Saccharomyces cerevisiae S288C: one gene and its partner. The gene in region 1 interacts genetically with each later gene. Each region holds a gene or a part of one and is shown in the gene's direction. Other genes may lie near its edges.

Region 1 (7,172 bases):
TTAAAAGAATGTGGATGAAACAAAACTGAATCCAATGATGAGAAATAAATGTACAATCAGATAATAAACACTTTTATTGATGATTGTCTTTTCTTGCAAACCCCAATGTTACAATCGCCCATTAGTTCTAAGATTGTGTTGTCCTTTTTCTTACGAAATTTTTTTCCCTCCCTTTTTTGATCACTGTCCTCGTTATAAGTGATTCGTGGGGTAACGGCGATATCATACTATTATTGGCCCATCTGATGGATTAGAAGACCTACAGGTTAATGTGAAGCGACACTAATGATAAGAAAACTGCATCGGATCATATCTGTTTTTGCAGCGTGGTATATTGGTTGTTGGTCATGTTTCAACGAAAGACTTTACAGAGAAGGAACTTGAAAGGGCTCAATCTTAACCTGCACCCAGATGTGGGCAATAATGGCCAATTGCAGGAAAAGACAGAGACTCACCAGGGACAATCTCGAATAGAAGGCCACGTGATGTCTAACATTAATGCAATACAGAATAATAGCAACCTGTTTTTGCGAAGAGGCATAAAAAAAAAACTGACGTTGGATGCGTTTGGTGATGACCAAGCTATATCGAAACCAAACACTGTGGTAATACAGCAACCGCAAAATGAACCTGTTTTAGTTCTGTCTTCTCTATCACAATCCCCGTGTGTATCATCATCATCATCTTTGTCCACGCCATGCATTATAGATGCGTACAGTAATAATTTCGGATTATCGCCATCATCCACGAATTCTACTCCCTCTACGATTCAGGGATTGTCCAATATTGCAACACCAGTTGAAAACGAACATTCGATATCACTACCACCTTTGGAGGAAAGCCTATCGCCAGCCGCAGCAGATCTGAAAGATACGTTGTCGGGAACTTCAAATGGTAATTATATACAACTCCAGGACTTGGTTCAGTTGGGGAAAATTGGTGCTGGAAATTCTGGAACTGTGGTGAAGGCACTACATGTTCCTGATTCCAAAATAGTTGCCAAAAAAACCATTCCTGTGGAACAGAATAACAGTACAATCATCAACCAATTAGTTAGGGAATTATCTATCGTCAAAAACGTTAAGCCCCATGAAAACATTATCACCTTCTATGGAGCTTATTATAACCAGCATATAAATAATGAAATCATAATTTTAATGGAATACTCTGATTGTGGTTCTTTAGATAAAATACTGTCCGTTTATAAAAGGTTTGTTCAAAGAGGGACTGTTTCGAGTAAGAAAACCTGGTTCAACGAATTAACAATATCAAAAATAGCGTATGGCGTACTAAATGGCTTGGATCATTTGTACCGACAATATAAGATCATTCATCGTGATATCAAGCCTTCCAATGTTCTGATTAATAGTAAGGGGCAGATTAAGTTATGTGATTTTGGAGTTTCCAAAAAACTAATAAATTCTATCGCTGATACATTTGTTGGAACGTCCACTTATATGTCACCAGAGAGGATACAAGGAAACGTTTATTCTATCAAAGGGGACGTTTGGTCATTGGGCTTAATGATCATCGAGCTGGTAACTGGAGAGTTTCCCCTAGGTGGGCATAACGATACACCTGATGGCATATTGGATTTGCTGCAACGTATTGTCAACGAGCCTTCACCAAGATTACCCAAAGACCGTATCTATTCCAAGGAAATGACAGATTTTGTCAATAGGTGTTGTATTAAGAATGAAAGGGAAAGGTCATCGATTCATGAATTGCTACATCATGATCTTATAATGAAATACGTATCACCGTCTAAAGATGATAAATTTAGACATTGGTGTAGAAAAATAAAATCTAAAATAAAGGAAGACAAGAGAATTAAAAGAGAAGCCTTGGACCGTGCCAAGTTAGAAAAGAAACAATCGGAAAGATCAACCCATTGAATGCATGCGATAACATTAGTTAGGAACATATTGCACTTTTTTTCACATCCCTTTCTCAAAGCTATATTCATATATATATAGACTCTCCTGATTATGTAAATCACAAACCAATTTTCTAATGTAACAATATTTTTAAAAATAATCATCAAAGTAGCACTTTATGTACAGAAAATTTCACGATTGAGAGAAGCTTGCGAATAATACTAGTTAGCCTGTGTTTCACCATCGTTACTTAATTTCTTATAGTTCTTATATTCTTTATTTTTATGCCACAACCAACCTTCGGTTCCTCTAACGAAACCGAAGGCGATTAATAACCCACCGAAGCTACGTAAAGTTACTTTCCACCATTGTGGGTTTCTTTTTTCAAATTCAGTCAGAGAAATGCCTCTTTTGGCTTCTTTTTTACCATACTTGAATGGTTTCCCAGATGCCAAGTATGAGCCAAATCCAACAGAAAACATAGTGCTCATGACTTGACAAGGAACGCAATCCATAGTCTCTTCTTTTTCCAGCTCCCTTTGTGGTGGAGGGTTGAACACTGCCAAAATATTACTCATTGTTTTTCACCACTTGCTGTTTCTCTCTAAGCGGTGTTTTGTTTCCTACTTGGTGGCACACAATGACTGTACTCGCTTTATATGCTCGTACCTTTTTTCAAAAGCCCATCGTTAATTTTTCACCCGAGGACCCCATATTACGCGTTTTTTGTTAATGTTCAATTTCTGACATGTTACAATTATAATAACGCCAAAAGAGGTAAATGTATATTTGAACAATTGTTAAAGAGAAGATAAAAACCCTTTAATCTTGCATTTGTCGTCAATAGTACACAATAGGCGATCTATTTTAGTACGGCAATTAAAAGAAAGCTGCTTTTCAGTCAAGAATGCCGGAATTAACAGAATTTCAGAAAAAACGTTTAGAGAACATCAAAAGGAATAACGATTTATTGAAAAAACTCCATTTGTCTGGAGTAGCATCTCAAATTAAGCACGAGGCTGGGGTGTTGGAAAAATCTAGAGCTCCTGCAAAAAAGAAACAAAAAACAACTAATACCAGAGCAACCAAGTCTGCGAGTCCCACTTTACCTACACGAAGATCAAGAAGGCTAAGGGGTGAGTCTGCAGACGATGTGAAAGGAATACCCAATGTGAACGATAATCAGTTGCTTAAAATGGGTTCTCCAGATGGCCAGGATAAGAATTTTATAGACGCAATAAAGGAGAAACCTGTAATAGGAGATGTGAAATTAAGTGATCTGATCAAGGATGAAGACGAAAGTGCCCTTTTAGAGAAATTCAAGAGGTTTAATAACGGAAACTTTTCTTCTGGTGATTTCTTTGAAGAAATAAAAAAGAGACAGGGTGACGTTACGGGGATGGACGAATTTGATTTGGATCTATATGACGTTTTTCAACCGAACGAAATTAAGATTACATACGAAAGAATCTCTGCCACTTACTTCCATCCTGCTATGGAAAAAAAGCTAATAATTGCAGGTGATACAAGCGGTACTGTGGGTTTTTGGAACGTTAGAGATGAACCACTAGCTGACAGCGAAGAGGACCGAATGGAAGAACCCGATATCACCAGAGTGAAACTATTTACCAAAAACGTCGGCCGTATTGATTGCTTCCCTGCGGACACATCGAAGATATTGCTCACCTCTTACGACGGAAGCATCAGGTCAGTTCACTTGAATAACTTACAGAGTGAAGAGGTTCTCACCTTGAAAAATGAATATGACGATTCACTGGGTATCAGCGATTGCCAGTTTAGCTACGAAAACCCAAATGTTTTATTCCTCACCACATTAGGTGGTGAATTCACCACGTTTGACACAAGAGTAAAAAAATCAGAGTATAATCTGCGAAGACTCGCAGACAAGAAGATCGGGTCTATGGCAATAAATCCCATGAGACCCTACGAGATTGCCACCGGATCACTTGATAGAACACTCAAAATCTGGGATACAAGAAACCTTGTTAAAAAGCCAGAGTGGTCACAATATGAAGACTATCCCAGTCATGAAATTGTCTCCACATATGACTCAAGATTGAGCGTCTCTGCAGTTTCTTACTCACCGACAGATGGCACCTTAGTGTGCAATGGCTATGACGATACCATCCGCTTATTCGATGTCAAGAGTAGGGATCACCTTTCTGCGAAGTTGGAGCCCAAACTAACGATTCAGCACAATTGCCAAACAGGAAGATGGACAAGCATCCTCAAGGCCAGGTTCAAGCCGAACAAGAATGTTTTTGCAATAGCTAACATGAAGCGCGCCATCGACATATACAACAGCGAAGGCCAGCAACTGGCTCACCTACCCACAGCTACTGTCCCAGCTGTAATTAGTTGGCACCCGCTGCGAAACTGGATTGCAGGTGGTAATTCTAGCGGCAAAATATTCCTCTTTACTGATGACTCCGGAACCATAAAGCAGGAAGAATGAAAACATCTCAGTTACCCGCACTGCCTTTTTTCTCTCCCGCTTTTCAGCAGAACGAGGCGACAAGCGAAGGAACAAAACAAAACAAAAGAAAACAAAAATATTGAAATGCAAGAACATGGACACATAAAAACATTTTTGATCCGGTCGAAAGAAAACGATCAGAAATTTTTAGCTGCTTGCTTAGAAGAAAAGAAAAGAAAATTGCAGAGAAAAAGCTATTTATTGTTTCTGTCCTTCGCTTTAAAACATAGAGATATTTTGTCCTTTTTATCATTGCTTATTATAAATGCATCATAACTCACAGTCTTTGAGCTCTGGACACATCAGGAGCCCCGAGGATGAAAATGTGGCACCTATAGGTAATCTTAAACACAGGACTGGATCCCTCAGTCATATTTCATCTGCGCACCCGAGGGTCGCACTTAGCGACGTTACCAATATAGTTGCGACAAACTCTAGCAACAACAGCATAAGTAAGCCAAAAGTCGCCCCAATTAAAGAAAGATTGGATTCAGCTGCGATAATTGAGGAAGAAAGGCTGGATGCGAATAGTGTTGCACAGAGAAAAGAAGCTGATCATAACGATTTGTTAACGGACAGGGAACAAGAGGAACCCGTTGAAGACGACGGAGAAAGCGAAGAGGATGAAGAAGAAGACCAGGAGCCTCTACTGTTGCAACATTATGCTAGTGATACATTGGTCTGGGAGCATGCATTTAGAACTTACTATAGAACTACATTAGATCCCAATGATGATGACGTGTACGATGTGGTCATGGTTGCCGAATTATCTAATGAGATATTCGAGTATATGAGGAAATTGGAAGACCTGTATAAACCCAACCCGTACTACATGGATAAACAACCAGAGTTAAGATGGTCGTTTCGAAGCACACTGATTGATTGGATCGTCCAAGTACATGAAAAATTTCAACTTTTACCTGAAACTCTATATCTCTGCATTAATATAATAGACAGATATCTGTGCAAAGAAGTTGTTCCTGTAAATAAGTTCCAACTTGTGGGTGCAGCCTCACTCTTCATTGCTGCTAAATATGAGGAAATCAACTGTCCTACAATCAAGGATTTCGTATACATGTCAGAAAACTGCTACTCAAGGAACGACCTGCTGGACGCAGAAAGAACTATTTTGAACGGCTTAGAATTTGAATTGGGTTGGCCTGGTCCGATGTCATTTTTACGAAGAATCAGTAAGGCAGACGATTACGAGCATGATACGAGAACACTGGCCAAATATCTATTGGAATCCACAATAATGGACCATCGACTGGTTTCCGCTCAACCTAGTTGGTTAGCTGCCGGTGCATACTTTCTAAGTAAGATTATTCTGGGCCAAAATCAGTGGTCTCTGGCGCACGTCTACTATTCCAATTATACACAAGAACAAATTCTTCCGTTGGCCACCATTATTTTAGAAAATTGCAGATATGCCTCTAAACGTCATAACGCCATATGGAGAAAATATTCTTCACGTCGTTATTTGCATTCTTCACAGATCGTAGCGAAGTGGATAGCATTAGCTGAACACAGAGTAGAAAGATCTAACTAAAAAGCCTCAGCTCGAGACATGGCATCAACAAAGGAAAAAGGATTCATTACCGTCTTTTGCACACAAAAACTTTAATCATCAGTAATAAACATATGTAACTTTTTAACCTTAAAACATACTAATCTCCGTACTTTTTTTAAAGCATCCACAATCCATATGGATATGACGCGAAATTAGCTCGGCGGTTAATTATTAAAAAATTGAAGCTAAAATCAAGGTTAACAAAACAACTCATTCAAAATAACTTACTCATTCATATACTGCCACCAAATGGAATATGTCCCATGAATGGCTCATAAGCGCATCGGAAACAATGAGAAGCATTGGTAATGGGGAAGGTTTGCGGGATAAAGGTGCTGTCGTTGCCAACAATGACGGAGAATTTAACGAAGGTGATACAAATCGTGAAGAGGATAGCTCTACCATTTTCTCCTTCGATTTTGACGAGGAGATTGTAATGTGTATTGACTTTTCTGGAGGAAAACTCGGGTGTTCTATTTTAGATTATCATACCAAGACTTTGAAAGCGTTTGACCAGGACTACGTGGTCAATAAAACAACAATTTCGTCTCATGATCTTATCGATGATGCAGATATGTCTTCAAACGACATAAGTCTGTTACTTGGACTTTTAATAATGGAAGCAAACCCAACTGTATGCCTAGTGCCGGCAAGATTGGAGGATTGGATTTTCGACTACATTAAGACAAAATGCGATGAGATAAACTGTAGGCTAGAACTACAACCAATAAAACGTTTCAAAAAATGGGACTTATTGCAGTCATTGCAGTTAAGGGGTCATGATAATCAGACTATATTGAACGACATATTATCAAATAGCAAATTTACCACCACAGTCACCTTAGGTACAGTGGGATGCATCCTTGCAAATCATGAACAACTTGGTGAATACAATGACAGTACTGCTTCAAGTAATATGGTAACAGGACGATTAGTTCAGAATGCTTTTGAAGATGTGATACATGGCATAAGGTATATCGACATAAGGGATCGGATGGTACTGGATGAAAATACTATATCGGCTTTGCATATTTTTCCAACAGCTCATAAACTGGGCCATGATAAGATGATGAGAAATGGTTTCTTTAGTGTATTTGAACTATTCAATCAAGTGTCTTCGGACTACGCCAGGAGAATTTTGAAGTCTTGGCTTATTAACCCATTAACCAATAAAAAACGGATAGAAACAAGATACAGCATCATAAGAACCTTATTGGATAAACAAAAC
Region 2 (4,935 bases), on another chromosome or scaffold:
TGTACGCAATGGAAAATGCCCGTTTCTAATAATTAACCTGACCAAATTATCACTTGGAATACTAGCAATAGTAAAAGGATGTTGGAAGGGTATCAAATGGGAGAAAAACCTCCTTAAAAAATTTCTATGGTAAATGTTGATCCTTAGATGCCCTCCTGGTAGGATGGGCTTTTTGGGTAAATCGGTTAATGGGAACTCCAAAAGAGACAATGATGAAGAAATGGGTACTATCGTAACTCTCGTAACATTGGTGATATGGAGCCTATAGACGATTTGTCCCGTTAATATGAGCACATTTAAAGTGGTATAATATGAAATTCCTGGGCGAGCGTGATAATGTAGAAACACCAAAATAAGCCATGTGCTTACATAGTGAACATAGTAAAAAACTCTGTAGCTCCATCGTCTGGCATATCTCACAGAGGTGATGGCAATCAGTAGGAAAAGGCCGAGGGCAATAACCCCATAAATGTTGGGTAGTTTTCTCATTTTCACGTATAACGTATCATTAATGTACATGTAATAGAGATAGAACCACGTGTGTAGAATAGATTCAAGCACAACAATTCTGGAAATCCATTTGTGGAGAGGTAACAATGCTAAGTATAACGTGTGAGGTAACGGTGATGGCCTCAACGTTAGAAATAGTAAAGGTGGCATCAAAGCAACGGAAATTCTCCCCATTCGCTTAGTAATTTCTAACAGATCTCCGTTAGCGCCTTGTATAACAAAAAACGAGGTGAAAACAAAGCATATTAAACATAGTTGTAGTGACTGTTTGTGATACATATGTGTTTTGTGAACCCATGATCTTCTGTTGAAAACATGATGCTTTAAATGGTGACATATTTTGAAGAATTTGTCAGTTAGCAACAAATAATTCATTAAGGGTATAATAACACATATTATAATGAAAGAAATTAAAAGACATATCTGAGAATATTTGCGGACTCTTAAAGTTCTAAAATGCTTGTCCACGTCGACATCAAAACTGGGAAGATGTTCCTTGAACCAGCTAACGATGGACTTTAAATTCATGCTGAAAATAACAATAAATAAAATACAGTAAACTTTTTTAGCGGAACTTCTATTGTAATTTAACGATTTAATCTGAAGAGATGTAGATGTAATAAAACTGTTAAAGTGGCAACGTGATAATTAAAAGCTTGGCAAAAATAAGAGATCAACACTAGCTTTTTCTTTTTCCACCTAAATTTGAAGGGAAATAAAAAAGAAATTGAGGCTGTACAGAGTGTTAATCTTCCATAACGGATACCACCAAACGTTTTTACCCTAAACTTAAATTTTATTACTTATTTTACATGCATAATGGCTGCCATGCGTAGTTCATACATGTTATTTGCACCCTTTTTCTTTTTCAATAACAAAAAAGAGCTTGGGCATTACGTTTTCAACACTTTTAATATTTCCCTTTTTACATCCGTACATATAAAATGTAAACCCATGCATTCATGACAATTTTACCTATTTCTTAAAGGCCTTTGTCACTTCTTTATGGGAATGGCGCTACTTTAATTTTCCGCCTACTTTGAAAAATTTACCAAGGCGAAATTGAGTGCGCTAGGCGGAAGTTCCAGGGCACGGTCACCGAACCTTTGTGCTGTTTCGAACGAGGGTCCCGCTGGAGGTTGACGGACGCGGGAGGAGCTGGAAAGATGGAATGGAAGGACTGCAACACTCAGTAAGAAGGTTCGTGGTAGGGAACATCACCTTCTCTAGTTCCTGTAAAAATAATATGATCAAGTTTGAATCCTCGTATTGAAAAATCGCGAGTTATTAAGTGTGTAATTTAGAATACCGAAATAGCACAAGAAGAGATAAGATAAGATACTGATAGGATAATGTCTTTACCAGCTACTTTTGATTTGACTCCAGAGGATGCCCAACTTTTGTTGGCCGCTAACACCCATTTAGGTGCTAGAAACGTTCAAGTATGTACACATATCCCATACGATTATGTTCTATAGATGATAATAGGTCTCGAAAAGAATATGTCCCCGATTTAATCATATTTGGAGGTCAGAGGACCAAAGGTAATTTCAGAGGAATTTTGAACACGCCGGGTTTAGAAGAGTTAGAATTTCACTTCTTAGTGAGGGTAAGGAGAAGAAACTCAATAAGAATATACATCCTCGACTGTGTCAAAGATTATGAACTCCGATGAAACAGTAAAACGTCAAAAAATTCCACGGGATATAATTCGGTACTTTATTGGATATGGAAGAAAACATTATATATGCACAAATGAACGCTCTTACTAACATAATTTATCTTTCCTCTCTTTTTTTAGGTCCACCAAGAACCATACGTTTTCAATGCTAGACCAGATGGTGTTCACGTTATCAATGTTGGTAAGACCTGGGAAAAGTTGGTTTTGGCTGCTAGAATTATTGCTGCCATTCCAAACCCAGAAGATGTTGTTGCCATCTCTTCCAGAACCTACGGTCAAAGAGCTGTCTTGAAATTTGCTGCTCACACTGGTGCTACTCCAATCGCCGGTAGATTCACTCCAGGTTCTTTCACTAATTACATCACCCGTTCTTTCAAGGAACCAAGATTGGTTATTGTTACCGACCCAAGATTAGACGCTCAGGCCATTAAGGAAGCTTCTTACGTTAACATTCCAGTCATTGCTTTGACTGATTTGGACTCCCCATCTGAATTTGTTGATGTCGCCATCCCATGTAACAACAGAGGTAAGCACTCCATCGGTTTAATCTGGTACTTGTTGGCTAGAGAAGTTTTGAGACTAAGAGGTGCTTTGGTCGACAGAACTCAACCATGGTCCATCATGCCAGATTTGTACTTCTACAGAAACCCAGAAGAAGTTGAGCAAGTTGCTGAAGAAGCTGCTGCCGCTGAAGAAGGTGAAGAAGAAGAAGTTAAGGAAGAAGTCACTGAAGGTCAAGCTGAAGCTACTGAATGGGCTGAAGAAAATGCAGACAACGTTGAATGGTAATCATTTGAAAACCTTGCAATGTGTGTGAATATTGTAAGGAATTGAGAAAGAGAGATAAAAAAAGAGACAGAAGTATCACTTCCTTTTCTAATTTTTCTTTTTCATTTTTTTTTTAAATTCATCTATCGTTTATCTTTATCTCATATATATTTGCTTCTCTCTGAAGCGTCATCATCTATCTGTATTTTTAATGCAATCATAGTATAAAAATTTTTAACCAAATTCAAAAATTATAATATTTTAAAAGTTTATGCTTTTGTCCTTTTATATTCAAGTCATTTGGCCATTATTACGCTTTTTTTTTTATTAGGTAAGTGGTTTCAATAATTAAATTCTTTAGCGGGAAGGCTGACTATCTATAGTATTGAAGATAAGTTAAATTAATGTTTAGTTCTGATATTTCATTTTTATTATTAATTAAATTTGCACTATTCGCCATGACGGGTTCACCCGAGTATTTATTTTGCTTTCGTTATACATATATATATATATATATTCTTCCAGGAGAAATACCTGCCTTCTCTCTTACCCCTTGCTCAATCTAAATCAATCCGTGACCTTAAATCTTCTAGCAGAATGACTAAGTCACAATCGATTTTAGAAATTTGAATAACCAGCTCAGAGATATTACTGACAAAAAACTTGTAATGGCACTGTTTTAGCAAGTTTAAGATAAATGTATCCATTAAGAAAGCATTGATTTTATTCGGACCATAATAGGTAGTCACTATTAGAATATCTAAAAGTTCTAGACCAATACCATCTAATTTGTGCTTATTCAATGCGTTGGTCATAAAATTTCTTATTACAGGCTTGATGAAATCCATTATCACATTTAATTTCAACTTGTCCTTTAAATGGTAGTATAAGTTAGGAAAGTCCTGATAGAACTTCCCCTCAGTAACCGTGTAAGAATTCTTGTTGTCCTTATTGTCATCGAAACGACTATTCAACCAGGTAACGTTTTTCGTCAAATTGATGAAAATAGACCGGGATAGAGTTTCCTGCTCTTCGTTGTTACAACATTTCCTTATTGCTAGATACAATGAGTTGTTCGCATACTGACTGAAAAATCCGGCTTCGTCTAGTTCGCTATAGTGATATAAACATCTCTTGTATATTGGAAGACGAAAATCGTTCGGTATCCCAAACCAATATAAGTTATGCTTACTTATCACCAACAGCAGGTCCGTCTCATCGCCAGATGTATGACAACTTCTCAAATTGCTCCAAAACTTTTCCAATTTTAGTTCTCTTCGAAATAAGTTTCTATTTTGAAACTTTAAATTTAAGATGTTCCTCTTTGTTTCCGATTTAATGAGGTTTTGTATGGATGGATCAGTATGAGTGCACAAGGTTTCATCGTTATTATTGGCAATTAATGATAACGATTCTTTTTCACTATTGATTTTCCTTTTATTTTCCTGAATCAAAGAATCTACACTCAAATTTTTTTGTGGTCTAATGACTAATGAAGATGATCCTGATGAGTTCCTGTTGTTGTTTGGAGTAAACAAACCATCAGAAAACACAGAAGACGCAGAAGAAGATGAAGAAGAGTACATCGTTGATCTGTGATTCGGCGAAGGGGCCACAGGACTCCCCTGAGAGTTTGCTCGAGGAATGGCAAAGTTGTCTATTATGGGGACAGCATAACTAATGAGATTAGTATCTTTATCTATTGTTGTGTCCAGAATTGTTGTCCAATCTGTGGTCCCGGAATGTAGGGCCTCTTCTTTCAAATCGTTTCTTGTTATTCTATGCCTGCTATGGAATAGCCGCTGACTGGGTGGTACGTACTCGTGCATGATATTATTAACCATGAGTTGTAGCTGTTTTGTTATATCCAAAGAATTTGGCTAACGTATCCTTGTACGCGTGATTTATTTATATATACGTGCAGCACAATATATATATATATATATATGTATGCGTGCGCTTGGTTATGGCTCAGT

Evidence for each region. Genes that interact genetically often act in the same process or in processes that back each other up.
Region 2: mutations in CMR1 (region 1) and RPS0B impair growth when combined (synthetic growth defect), as found in Saccharomyces cerevisiae (2 studies listed by BioGRID, with this or other methods).

What each region holds. Positions count from the first base shown.
Region 1 is NC_001136.10:172,134-179,305, forward strand, and holds CMR1 (Cmr1p), read left to right. Parts: upstream 1-2,784; coding exon 2,785-4,353; downstream 4,354-7,172. Other genes in the region: YDL159W-A (uncharacterized protein), read left to right, coding at 49-180; mitogen-activated protein kinase kinase STE7, read left to right, coding at 348-1,895; DMO2 (Dmo2p), read right to left, coding at 2,099-2,455; B-type cyclin CLB3, read left to right, coding at 4,640-5,923; MutS family protein MSH5, read left to right, coding at 6,201-7,172. UniProt on the Saccharomyces cerevisiae protein: DNA-binding protein that binds to both single- and double-stranded DNA. Binds preferentially to UV-damaged DNA in vitro. May be involved in DNA-metabolic processes.
Region 2 is NC_001144.5:240,370-245,304, forward strand, and holds RPS0B (40S ribosomal protein uS2 RPS0B), read left to right. Parts: upstream 1-1,862; coding exon 1,863-1,952; intron 1,953-2,311; coding exon 2,312-2,980; downstream 2,981-4,935. Other genes in the region: FRE8 (putative ferric-chelate reductase), read right to left, coding at 1-1,038; MLO50 (Mlo50p), read right to left, coding at 3,517-4,803.